3 linked regions of the Danio rerio genome follow. The protein of the gene in region 1 purifies or fractionates together with the protein of each later gene. This does not show direct contact. Links are inferred from orthologs where the notes say so. Each region holds a gene or a part of one and is shown in the gene's direction. Other genes may lie near its edges.

Region 1 (4,110 bases):
TCCAGAAGAAAAAACATTATCAGACATACTGTAAAAATTTCCTTGCTATGTTAAATATAATATGGGAAATATTAAAATAGCAACAAAAATTCAAAGGGGGCTAATAATTCTGACTTTAAATGTATTTGCTTTTTTTCCTGTGAGCATGTGCGATTCATCATTAGATAAGAATACAGTTTCATGAATGGAATACACACAGTGTAAAATATTGATCTTTTTTTTTTCAATTCATATTTATTTCAATTCATCTTTATCTATAGTGCTTTTTTGATGTAGATTATGTAAAATATAGATGAAGTTCTGGTAAATTAAAATGGCTTCAGTTTAGTTGTCACAGTTGAAGTTCAGTGTGATGCAAAAGTCACTGTTGAAAGCACTGAAAACACTGAAGTGCAACTCTACCGGTGTGCAGCTCCACAAGTCCTAGCCAAGCAAATCAGAGCAAGAAAAAAACTGTCTCAGCTAGGCATAACCATGTCTCCTCTGGCCACAATAAACTTGTGACAACAACTTGTGACAACAAACTGCCATTTTGTGGTACAAGCCATTGAAATGAATTGGTTTCATAGTGCAGTGCTTTCTGCATCCAGTGTGAAAGCCACTTTAGACTGCATGGTGACTTGGCTGAAAGGAATGTGAAACCAGCCATCTGAACACCCCTGAACAGTTTGGCGCAGCGTAACCTTTTTTGGCATCATGATTTTAGCCATTTTTCTTTTTCAGCCAAAAACCGAGATAATTTACATAATGTTTTTATAGGAGGTATATAAATTAGGGCTGTCAGCATTCACATGTTGAAGGGATAGTTCACCCAAAGATGAAAATTCTGCCATCTGTTTATTCAATTTTTTTGTTCTGTTGTGCGTTCTTCAAAATTTTGTCTTTGTGTTCAACAGAACAAAAAGAAAACTCAAACAGGTTTGTAACCAGTCAAGGGTGAGTAAATGATGGTAGAATGTACATTTTTGGGAGAATTATCCCTTTAACACATTTATTCATCCTGTTAAAACAATCACAAATAATTGATGTAATTTACACAATTGAATTCACTTTTTTAGGTGGAAATAACTATTGTATCCCCTTAAAAAAATTATTTTAAGCCTCTAAACTTTCTGAAAGATCCCCAGTAAATGTTTCATTCAATCAGTTTAAAACAATAGGAATGTACAGAAAACCAATCTGATTATGTCAGCGATGGCAGAGAGAATGGTCACTTGTGGCCAGTTTTTGGTGAATAAGTCTTTTGAGTGCGTGTTTCAATTTAAAAACCCAAGCTCTGTCATTCTCTGTGATTCGTTTATGAAGGCACATCTCATTGTTTGCTGTTTATTTGGTTGACATTTGTCTGATTTGGCTGTTATCTGTCTGAATCTGCTCTGTTTTGGTTTTTTAATTGATTGTTTTGATCTCTGACAGACTGAAGCTGCTTCTGCCATGGCTGGAGGCCCGTATCCACGAGGGCTGTGAGGAACCTGCCACCCATAATGCCCTGGCTAAGATCTACATTGACAGCAACAACAACCCAGAGCGCTTCCTCCGTGAGAACCCCTACTACGATAGCCGCGTTGTGGGCAAGTACTGCGAGAAGAGGGACCCCCATCTGGCCTGTGTGGCTTATGAAAGGGGACAGTGTGACCAAGAGCTCATCCATGTAAGAAACAATGGGGCTTTTGTTCAATGTTTGTAGCAAAAAGAGCTGATACATTCAATGTCTAACATAAAGCAAATTGCTATAAGTGTTTTTTTTTTCTGTCAAATTCACAGGTTTGCAATGAGAACTCACTCTTCAAGAGTCTGTCCCGATACCTTGTGCGTCGTAAAGACCCCGAGCTGTGGGCTAGTGTGCTTCTGGAAGTCAACCCTTACAGGAGACCCCTTATCGACCAGGTGCAAATTAGAGAACAACATGAAAATCAAGACTAAATTTTGCTTACAGTCCATTTTACTACCTCAATGTCCTATTTTCTAGTTCAAAAGAAAAAAAATATATAAAAAATAATATATGATAATAAAATATGTGCAAAAAAGTAGGTGTTATGGTACTATATCAAAAAGGTTAAAGGGATAGTCCCAAAGATTAAGATTTACCCAACCATGTCAGCAGAAAAATAACTTTTAGCGTGTGTCAGTAAATCATTCACAATGATAAATTGAGTCCAGTTTTTATTTAAATTTATTTTAAAGGTCCTGTCAAGTGCTTTGAAATGTGCAAGTTGGTTTGACGTGTGACGTAATTTCAACTGAAACATGAAGACTGGGTTGTACATAGAGTAGCTCCTCCCCTTTAAAAAAAAAACAACTAATAGAGCTTTGCTTTTATCACAGCTCTGCCAGTAAGGGCAAGTATATATCGCTGCAGCCTGGAGACCTCCAAGTAGGAGGGATTGTACCGCAAGTAGGTTGGGTTACCTCTAAGTGGGAGGGACTTATACCACAAGTAGGTTGGGTTTAGGTGGTGTAGGTGCAGCAGATATTAACAAAACACATCAGGTTACTATGAGGTTGGGTTTAGGGTTGGGATGGGTGTTGATCAGGGGTGCCCAAACTCCGTTCTGGAGGGCCACACTGTGTCCGAAACTGCATACTTCCATACTATATAGTACGCTAAAGTCAGTATATGGAAGTAGTATGTTTGAATTCATAGCATTCTAAAACCAGTATGTGAGAAGTACCCGAATGACTTACTAATTCCAGCGAGATTCTGGAGTGCACATCCCATGCACTCTATTCATGATGGCAGTGTTGCGACTGACGCAGGCAGGTCAAGTGACCCTGACAAAATGGCGAATGTAGTATGTCCAAATTCCATTCATACTTTTCAAATTCATACTGTAAAGAATGAACTTTTCTAACGGCCGAGTAGTACGATTAAATTCAAATGCAGTTCCTACTGAGAAGTAGGCGGTTTTGGACGCAGCCCTAGTGTTCTGCGGAGTTTAACTCCAGCTTGCTTTAACACACCTGCCAGGAAGTATATCTAGTAAGAGCTTGATTAGCTGGTTCAGGTGTGTTTGATTAGGGTTGGAGCTTAACTCTCCAGGATAATGGCCCTACAGGAACGAGTTTGAACACCCCTGGTGTAGACGTTAATAAAACACAATCGGTTACTGAGGTTGGGTTTAGGGTTGGGGTAGTTGTAGACATTCATAAAACACAATATTGGACTCCATGTCATGTACAAGGCATTAAATAAATAAAAACTCCAGGTTCGTACTGCCCACTTGGAGCTAGCTCCGACTTCCGTTTATACCCTTCTCAGTTAGGGTGGTTAAGCTGAAATGCATCAAATGAAAAGCCAGCAAGAAGCATCTTGAAGGGGGCAGGACATGTCACATATTATAGAGTATTTGATTGGTCAGAAGATTTGATGTGAAACTATATAAGTTGATGTCAAATAAATCATTGATTCATTGAGGCTTTTTTGTTACCTTTTTGCATCACACTAGCTTATTGATATCCTTAAGACTAATATACTGATTGTAACATCAAAAACCCTTATTTTGATTTCAGGGGTACAATTTTGAGTTATAGTGTGAGAAAATACTTTAACCCAGCTTATTTCCATGTCCACCACAGGTTGTGCAGACTGCTCTTTCTGAGACTCAGGATCCTGAGGAAGTTTCTGTTACTGTCAAAGCTTTCATGACTGCTGACCTGCCTAATGAACTCATCGAGCTACTGGAGAAGATTGTCCTGGACAACTCCGTTTTTAGTGAACACAGGTAATTGTGAAAGGCAACTGAACATAAAATGGTTTTCTTATATGTTTTTGATGGTGTTAAATAGTGACTTTCCCATTATTTGTTCCAGGAATCTGCAGAACCTCCTCATCCTGACAGCCATCAAAGCTGACCGCACTCGTGTCATGGAGTACATCAACCGCCTCGACAACTACGATGCCCCTGACATCGCTAACATCGCCATTAGCAATGAGCTCTTCGAGGAGGCTTTTGCCATCTTCAGGAAGTTTGATGTAAACACATCTGCAGTGCAGGTGCGGTTCATGTTCTCATTTTTCATACTACAGGCTTGTTGAATTGCTTGATTCTGATTTTCAGATAAAAAGTAACGTCTTGACCACAACGAACATGCTTTTTGCATTGAGAGGAG
Region 2 (4,110 bases), on another chromosome or scaffold:
GTCACACACAAATGCCATTTGCAGTACACACACACACACACACACACACACACACACACACACACACACACACACAAGAACTACATATAACTACTTAAGAACTACATAGCGATTTTACTGTCTTTAATACAAACATACTCTGTATTAAAAATGTTTTAAACTTATAAAACTTAAAAAACTCATACAGAGTTTGAACAAATAATTGAATTCAATTTTATTTGCTAAAAAATGCGGATGTGTATATATGTTATTACAGAAACACGGCACCTGCCAATCAATTCAATGGGTGGGCAAAACCGCACTCATACGTCACATTTCGGTGAGAATTTAAAATCACTGGAAATTGCATTCTATTTTAACGTCAGGAAATTTAAAAAAAAAAAAAAAAAAAAAGACTTATTCGGTTTATATCCCTCCAATATGACAGAGGACACACTATACACACAAACACAGTTCTGTCTAAACAGCTTACAAAAGTAAAAAAATGTTATCATAGGTGCCCTTAAAAAAATAATGGCATGTAATAAAAATAAATATTACAAGTTTTGCGCTTTTTTATGTGTATCAAATGTTATTACATTTTACCAAATGTTATAATATTAATTTCATTATGTATTTGTATTACTTTACTTTCTGAATTTTTCCCAAGTATAAATTTATCTTTAGATTCACCACACAATTACATCAGCGTTCACATCACACTTATCACAAAAAACAAGCAACACAAATACATTCAAAATCACCACATAAGTCACATAAAAACTCAATTAATCCTGTTCCTTTTTAAAATGCAAATGGCAGTCGGCACAAAAGACATTTGGTGCACATTTTTCTTTACTTGAGGTTGCCTAACATGTTTTTTGATGGAAAAAGCTGACATTTTAATTTTAAAGGATGGAACAATCTTCAATAAAGATATGTGCTTTATGTTTAATTCTTATTTAATAAATTTAATTTAGTTGTCTTTGTGCTTTACCTACAATTGCCCTGTATATTTTTACTACCAATACATTTGTATTTCATTTAATGATCTTATTGGTTGGCCAAGTATAGAAACACTTTCTCTAACGGATAAATCCTTATCAGCTAAACTTTAACTGCCATTTGCTTTTTATCTTTTCCCAGTTCATACTGAAGAACTATGGTGAGGATCCTGACAATTACAATGAGCAGCTAAAGAAACTGGAGCAGCTGAGACAGGTTAGTCTTACAGTGTACCATTTTAATCAGTAAGTACATCTTCCCTGGAAAATATCCTTGGCATTGCTAGCATCATGCTCTACCAGTTAAGCAACTAAGAGAAGTTTATGATCTTGGCATTCCTAAATTCTCCGCATTGTCACGTCTTTCCAGAGTGCTGTAAACGTCACACGAGACTTTGAGGGCTGCAGTACGTTGAGGAAGTACTTCGGGCAGCTGCATTATCTTCAGAGTCGTGTGCCTCTGGGATTGGGCCAGGAAGCTGCTGTTCCTATTTCCTGGTAAGGGCATCAAACCATGCGCTTCAATATGCTGACAACTCGCACAAATCAGTTTGCATTGAAATAACTCATCGCCCCTGTTTGCATCTAAAAACCGTTTTCCCAACCTTCACTTGTTCCAAAGCTGTTTGAGTTTTTTTTCTGTTAAACACAAAGGTACTGTAGATGTACAGAACTTTGGAAAAAAAACATTCATACAGTCATTGACTTTCATGGTATTTTTGTCCAAACTCAAGGTTTGGAACAAGCAGAGGGTTAGTAAACGTTGACAGAATTTTCATTGTTAGGTGAACTATCCCTTTAAAATGTTTAATTGAACAGCTTATTAAGCATAATTTGGCTAAGAGTATGCATGTAAAGACATTATTTCTATTTCTTCCTCAAATACTGACTTTTAGTGCTCACTTTTAAGGCTTGTGCACACCGGGATGATTTTTTTCTCACGCTTATTGTTGTTGTTTTTTGTGTTCTCTCCCAAGAGCCAATCTCATTGGTCAACCAGTTTTAAATGCATCTTGTCAAACCAAAAATAACAAATCCAAGGAATTTTTAAAATGCTTTTATGCCTGGCTTGATTTTTTTTTACTCATGATTTTTGCACAATGGTTTGCATGCTCACATTAATGATCCTTGTTTAATCATAAGGTGTTAAGCGTTGGTGATAAGTGTGTGCAAAAATCGTCTTGATGTGCACAGGCCTTTACTTTTACCGGCAATATGACTATATACAGTTGAAGTCAGAATTATTAGCCCCTCTTTGAATTTTTTTCTTTTTTTTATATATATATTTCTTTAAATGGTGTTTAACAGAGCAAGGACATTTTCACAGTATGTCTGATAATATTTTGTCTTCTGGAAAAAGTCTTGTTTTATCTTGGCTAGAATAAAAGCGGTTTTAAAAATTTTTAAAGACTATTTTAAGGGCAAAAATTATTAGCCCCTTTAAGCTGTATTTTTTCATTTATTACCATTATACAATGATTGCCTAATTACCCTAACCTGCCTAGTTAACCTAATAAACCTAGATAAGCTTTTAAATAAAATAAATCAAGATAAAATAAATCAGTTATTTGAAAAGAATTATTAAAACTATTATGATTAGAAATGTGTCGAAAAAATCTTTTAAACAGGGGGGGTAATAATTCTGACTTCCACTTAATAATTTTTCATAATTTATATGAACATAATATTATATACCAGTGCGAAAATGCAGACAGAAACGTGAATGACAGCATGTCACATGAGAAAGTTGCAAGAATTCTTGAAGGTGCCATGTTTACATGTTGTATTTTTAGCGATAATTTTTGTTTTTATGTTGAAATCATTCATTTTTTGAAGTGCTTTATATATATAATATAATATATTACATATATATATATATATATATATATATATATATATATATATATATATATATATATATATATATATATATATACACACAGTATATATACACAGTATATATATATATATATATATATATATATATATATACATATACACATATACATTTTATATATGTTACTCAAAGCTACTGTTAGATACCTGAAAAACACTTTATCTTTGCTATATTGTATTCATTTTGTTTTGTATTTTGCTTATAGACTTTTCTTGATTTTTATTTGACTGTCCTGTTTTTTACTGAACATATATTCTATACCATACTGACCCTAAAAGCAAAAGAAAACCATAAACATTTAAAGTCTGTATTGTTGCCCCTAATTTCAACATTTTTAATCAAATATTTGCCCTCAAGTGAGAAATATGATCACAGGAATGAGTACGTTTCTCAGTATGTGAATAGTTCTTTTCATGTGGTCAGTATAATAAATCTATTGATTGATTGATTGAAATGATCTTATATTATGATATTTATCATTATCAGGATATGAGATTATGTATATGATGTGATAATTTTGTTATATCTTAGGACGGAGATATTTTCTGGGAAGACGGTGACCCATGAGGACATCTGCTATGAGCAGGCCTGCATCCTTTATAATTTGGGTGAGTTAGCATGAGACCGATACGTCAATGAGCGCATTGTCTGAGAGTGAAATAAATCCTGTGAGGTTGAGAAAAGGGTATTGTTGAAAATCAGGCTTGTTTTGCTGATTCAAGTCATGTTTTCACGCCTCTAGGAGCACTTCATTCAATGCTGGGAGCCATGGACAACAGGGTGTCCGAAGAGGTGAGCTGAACTACAGAAGACACAGCATGGACTAATTTAAATGTCATGTGATTTACTGTCGCAACCGACCGTAAGTCACACTGTGTTGAGAGGAAAGTGGTACATGTAACAATTCTTGCAATTCAGAAGTCATTTAAAGTCATTTTATCTCACTAAAAAAATCTATAACATGTAATTTTATTAATATATGGATAAAAATAATGAATAACTACAAATAGTTTGGCATTATATGAGGTATGGCCATGCAATGGCGCAGTTGGTAGTGCTGTTGCCTCACAGCAAGAAGGTCGCTAGTTCAAGCCTTGGCTGGGTCTGTTGGCGTTTCTGTGAGGAGTTTGCTTGTTCTCCCTGCATTAGCGTCGGTTTCCTCTGGGTGCTCCGGTTTCCCCCACAGTTGAAAGACATGCGGTACAGGTGAATTGGGTAAGCTAAATTGTC
Region 3 (4,782 bases), on another chromosome or scaffold:
AACTGTTGAATTGAATTGCTTTTAGGGCTTTAAGATATCTGTGATGTGGAAAATGTAGAAGAGATCCTGTCAAAACTGTGCAAAATGAAATAAATGTACAAATTTTGGATCAAAAGTCGAAAAGTATACCTCATTAAATCAAGTTTGACAAATTATAAATGGCAAAATGTATATTTGTATATATTAACTGTGTGTTCACACAGAATGCGGTGAGAGCGTTTAGTTTGGTCTGGTGACAAACACTGTCTGGGTTTACTGCTCCACTGGCAAGAGCGCCAAAATTCGCTGCGTTGATCTCATATTTAAAGGGTCCGCTGCAGCGAATCGGTTACCTTCCCGCATAAAAAACATGCTTTTATCAAATTCACATAACTGGAAGATCAAGTTGTTGCACGTGGTGTGGCTTTGCTCTACTTATTCAATATGTTTCTTAATGTCAGAAATATTTTGAAGCAGCAATACTGTTTTGTATTGTCATTACAGATAGCATGAGATTTCCGCTTTTTTAAAGAAAAAAAAAAATAACATTAATGCACCAACTCGCCAGTAATGTTGTTTTAATGTAAATTCCTGTAAGAAATTATCGTTAACAATCAGAAATCTGGCGACAGAGACAATCAAACCCATGGGAACAATTGTCGTCGGAACCAAAGTTCACATGACTGTGTTCTCTTGAATTCTCTGTAGCGGTCTGTCTACATTTTGATTTGTTGCCACTGAACAGTGTCAAAGCTCTTTACCATGAAGTTCACTTGATTTCAACCAAAGTCTTTTTAAGGCAAGTCATTTCACTTGGCGGCCATCTTTGAAATGTTTGGGCTTTGTGTTTAAACAGGGAAACGTTAAGTTCTCCAAAATTGCTCGCCAAGCTTATGATAAAATTTCATATTACAAATAACCACTAAAATTAAACAACAACTATCGCTTTACTTTTATTTCTAAACATTTGAATCACATAAAATCTGCAGAAAGTCACACCTGGTCCGAGCCCCTCCCTCTGAGAATCCTCAGTCTATAGAGATCACTGATTGGCTACTGTAGTAGAAGGCGGGGCTTTATTTGCCATATTGACGTTACACTTTTCCTCGTCTTGTGTCACGCGTCTTGTGTTTTCTATAGTCTTTGTTCCAACTCTCCTTTACATCCACACCAGGGAAGATGCGCCTCCTCACTTATCGTCGGCAACTCCCATCAAAAACGAATGACTTGCGGCGACTTTGACGCTCTTGCCACTTTTTTTGTGAACGCAAAGTTGTATCATGACGACAAATTTCATAAAATATATATAATTGTATTGAATTTTATGTTTATAATTTAAATTGAAACTTTTATACATTTAACATTGAAATGTATATAACTTATATAAATTTATATAATAAAAACATAATTTTAATTGTTAAATGTAAAACTGCTTGTAATAAAAGTTAGTTTTCAATTTATTACAAAATTTTGGTTAATAGAAATTACATTAACATTACATTTTTAATACATTTAGGTATATTTAAAATTGTTTTGTTGTTATTATTATTGTTATTTAAAAAAGTCTTTGTGCACCTTTTATCTCATAACTGGCACTTCGGCCGGACACCTAGTTGCTTCAGTTAGACAGTTTTCTTTATTTAGAAGTATGTTGTGCATAGGTTGAGCAGAGCTGTCCCAGGCTAGAACTGTAACTGTCCTCTTAGTTCTGCAGCCCTCATGCTCATCACAGACCTCTTACTGCTTCTGCCTATTCTGCAGAACTAGCACAAACACTAGCTGCTTTTCTTTTTTGCTTGGTAAACATCTCTCAACTGAAGCGCCAGTTGAGATTGCTGAATGCCATATAAGCGGCTCACACACACACACACACACACACACACCTCAATGACGGCTGCAAGCTAAGCGCACTTAGAACAACACCCCTAAGATGACTTGGGTTTTGAACAGTGCATGCCTGCTTTGGTCATCTGCATAAATCTCATTTCTTTTGGTTTTCTATATATCTGACTTGTGATCTGTTTCTCCTTGTTTTTCTTTTCTCTATGCACCTTTAAGCACTCACATTAACCATCCTTGCTACCGCCTAGACCAGTTAAGTAAAAAAAGAAAATGACAATAACCAAAAAAATCTTAAAACAAGACAAGAAATCCAAATATGCTCAGGAAACAAGCCACTGACTGCAAATTGATATACACCAATGAATTGCTGTCTTTATTACCATCAAGATGTTTCTCTTCTAAAGTTTCTAAGATTCTGGATGTCATTTTGTGGTGATGTGTTGGTGCACTAGTCCTGTGCGTTGATGTAATTGATTGTGACCGTGATTTACCTCATTGGCTTTTCATACCCATTTTGCTGTGTATACTGTGTGTGTATATATAGTGGAGAGGCTAATGCAACTCTACTAGACTGAGTCCACGGCAGCGGAAAGGGTTGGTAACGGGAATAGTCCAATATGGTTTCAAAAACCTTTAGTGTGTTTGGCTTGCCAGAAACTTGGTTTAGTTCCCCTCCCCCATGCTCAGCAGAAGGCCCCGCTTTTGGTCACTGCCAAACGCATGGCACGTTCAGCCTTTGCGCAAAGATTTAGTGGTTAAAATAAGCCAATGGGCCTGTCAATCGATACATTGAAGGCTCATTAGCGTACGCCGTTCCTCTGACCCTCAAGAGACGAGGAACATCCCTTAATTCAAAGTGCGACCAATTGTTTTAACCGACTGAATCGCTGCAAAACTTTTTAATTATGGCTGTTCTGGAAACCTTTTCCTGCCTTCAAGATGGAGACTAGTTCTGGTAATGGTGGGTTGGGGGCATGATGCTCAAACTACCATCTGTTTTGGATGTGGTCACTTGAAGAATGTCTCTGAATGTATCGATGGATGGAAAATAAGCACCTGGACGCTCCTGCTTTTGGCTCACGCACCTCTAACCTCCTAACCAAAAAGCTCCTGGTGAAACATTTCAGATTTTAGACAACTCCTTACTGAGTTCTTTGGAAATTGATCGTTTGAAGTTCTGGAGGCTTTGAAGGAGGTCAGCGGTGCTGCGCTCAAGCAGGACGGGTCTGCGAGTGTTCCCCGTGTCTATCTGAAGCTGATTTTGGTTTGTCATCGGCAGGGCGGCTGAGGAAGCCATGGTGTCGGAGCTGGATGAAAACAGTCCTGGCACAGAATGGGAACGTGTGGCGCGTCTTTGCGATTTCAACCCTAAATCCAGCAAGCAGGCAAAGGATGTGTCCCGCATGCGTTCAGTGCTCATCTCTCTTAAACAGGCTCCGCTCGTCCGCTAAACAGCTTCAAAGTAAACGAAAATCCAACAATCCCAGCAACCATTGGGTTTCACAACATCGATTTCCTTTGTGGCCCTATCCCAATGGCTTTGAGCTCCATATATGAATAATCTATATTATATTATATGTATGTGTAATATGATATAGTTATGTCTATAAATATTTCATCTATAAATATATACATGCATACATAAATATATATAACAATGTTTTTATTTTTGGTGTCTATTTTATGGACCAAACTCCATGTTCCACCTATTTTTCCCCTCGCCGTGTAGAGCCAGCGTGTGGCATTGTGACACTATCGATCTATGCATTTCCCTCGTGAATCTGTTGGGGAATCCAGTACTGACGTCTTGTGTATGTTGTATACAGATGGTGTGCGTGTGTGTGACTGTACATAAAGACTGGTCTTCTACACTTCATTGTGAGATTATGGCACAAGTTGTTGTTGTTGTTGTTAAACAGAGCTGTACCCCGGTAAACGTTAACTCATGTTGTCCATTCTGTTTCAGTTTGATTAAACACATTTGAAATGGTAAGTGTTTGTGTGTCGCCACCATTTTATTTGCACTGTTTGGAGGAAATCGTGAGATCTGCTTTTTCTTTAAGTTTTCTTAAAAATCCTTTACTTAAAGTGAAGAAATGTAGGTTTAATTTTAAAGTTGCTGTATATACATTTTTGACTCTACTAAAGCATCAAAATACCATAATATGTTTGCAGATATTTGAGAAACATGCCAAGTAAATATACTTGTTTATCTGAAAAACAATGCTGAAGTCAGATATTCTGCTTTTATAAATGTTCATTACGTGCCAAAACGACTGTCTTTGTTTTGGGTTTTTTAACCTGCACATTGCCAGTTTAGCCAATTATAATTCAGCACCCCGGGTTGCCTCGGTGGAAAACCAAATATTTCATTCATTCAGTCAGGAAGGCTCTCAGAGCATGTGCCTGTGACCAAAAGGTGACCTCTGGTGGACAGTAGCAGACTCCTAAATGAGACGCAGATTCAAAGTTCCACATGAGGTTATTATTTAGCAAATAATATAAAAATATGAACATAAGCATTAGGTGAGCAGGTTACACTGTAACCCTGTGTCCTAACAACATGCTACGTGACGAGATTTGCAGTGATACGCAATTTGGCTGTTTGCACCAGACGAAACAACAGAAATTTAAATCCAGCCATTCAGAAGCACAGAATATGCACTCACTCACGAAATGGTGAGGATGATTAATTAATACATATTAAACCTCTTTAACATTATGAAATGTAGATGCTGAATTACTTTGTGTTGGTTTTAATTCTAAAATTATATTTTTAACTGTTTATTTTCAAGATCTGAGGTGAACTATCTGCTGCTGCTGTCAGTAGTATGGCAATAAATGTCATGTAAAATGGCATTCAAACTCACATTATTTTTATACATTTAACACTGGATAACAATTATTATACATTTAACACTGGATAAAGCACATGAGGTGATCATTGTCAGTTTTCTGTTG

The links. The genes of interacting proteins can lie anywhere in the genome.
Region 2: the proteins of cltcb (region 1) and ptpn23a purify together in Homo sapiens (affinity purification with mass spectrometry; 3 studies listed by BioGRID and IntAct, with this or other methods). This does not show direct contact. The link is inferred for Danio rerio from reciprocal best matches to the Homo sapiens genes CLTC and PTPN23.
Region 3: the proteins of cltcb (region 1) and clta purify together in Homo sapiens (co-immunoprecipitation; 6 studies listed by BioGRID and IntAct, with this or other methods). This does not show direct contact. The link is inferred for Danio rerio from reciprocal best matches to the Homo sapiens genes CLTC and CLTA.

Annotation. Positions count from the first base shown.
Region 1 is NC_133190.1:19,744,739-19,748,848, forward strand, and holds part of cltcb (clathrin heavy chain 1), read left to right. Parts: intron 1-1,416; coding exon 1,417-1,651; intron 1,652-1,764; coding exon 1,765-1,887; intron 1,888-3,576; coding exon 3,577-3,722; intron 3,723-3,810; coding exon 3,811-3,994; intron 3,995-4,110. UniProt on the Homo sapiens protein: Clathrin is the major protein of the polyhedral coat of coated pits and vesicles. Two different adapter protein complexes link the clathrin lattice either to the plasma membrane or to the trans-Golgi network.
Region 2 is NC_133191.1:45,543,092-45,547,201, reverse strand, and holds part of ptpn23a (tyrosine-protein phosphatase non-receptor type 23), read left to right. Parts: intron 1-1,125; coding exon 1,126-1,200; intron 1,201-1,353; coding exon 1,354-1,481; intron 1,482-3,411; coding exon 3,412-3,488; intron 3,489-3,622; coding exon 3,623-3,672; intron 3,673-4,110. UniProt on the Homo sapiens protein: Plays a role in sorting of endocytic ubiquitinated cargos into multivesicular bodies (MVBs) via its interaction with the ESCRT-I complex (endosomal sorting complex required for transport I), and possibly also other ESCRT complexes.
Region 3 is NC_133176.1:13,757,714-13,762,495, forward strand, and holds the end of clta (clathrin light chain A), read left to right. Parts: intron 1-2,037; coding exon 2,038-2,073; intron 2,074-3,100; coding exon 3,101-3,272; 3' UTR 3,273-3,814; downstream 3,815-4,782. UniProt on the Homo sapiens protein: Clathrin is the major protein of the polyhedral coat of coated pits and vesicles.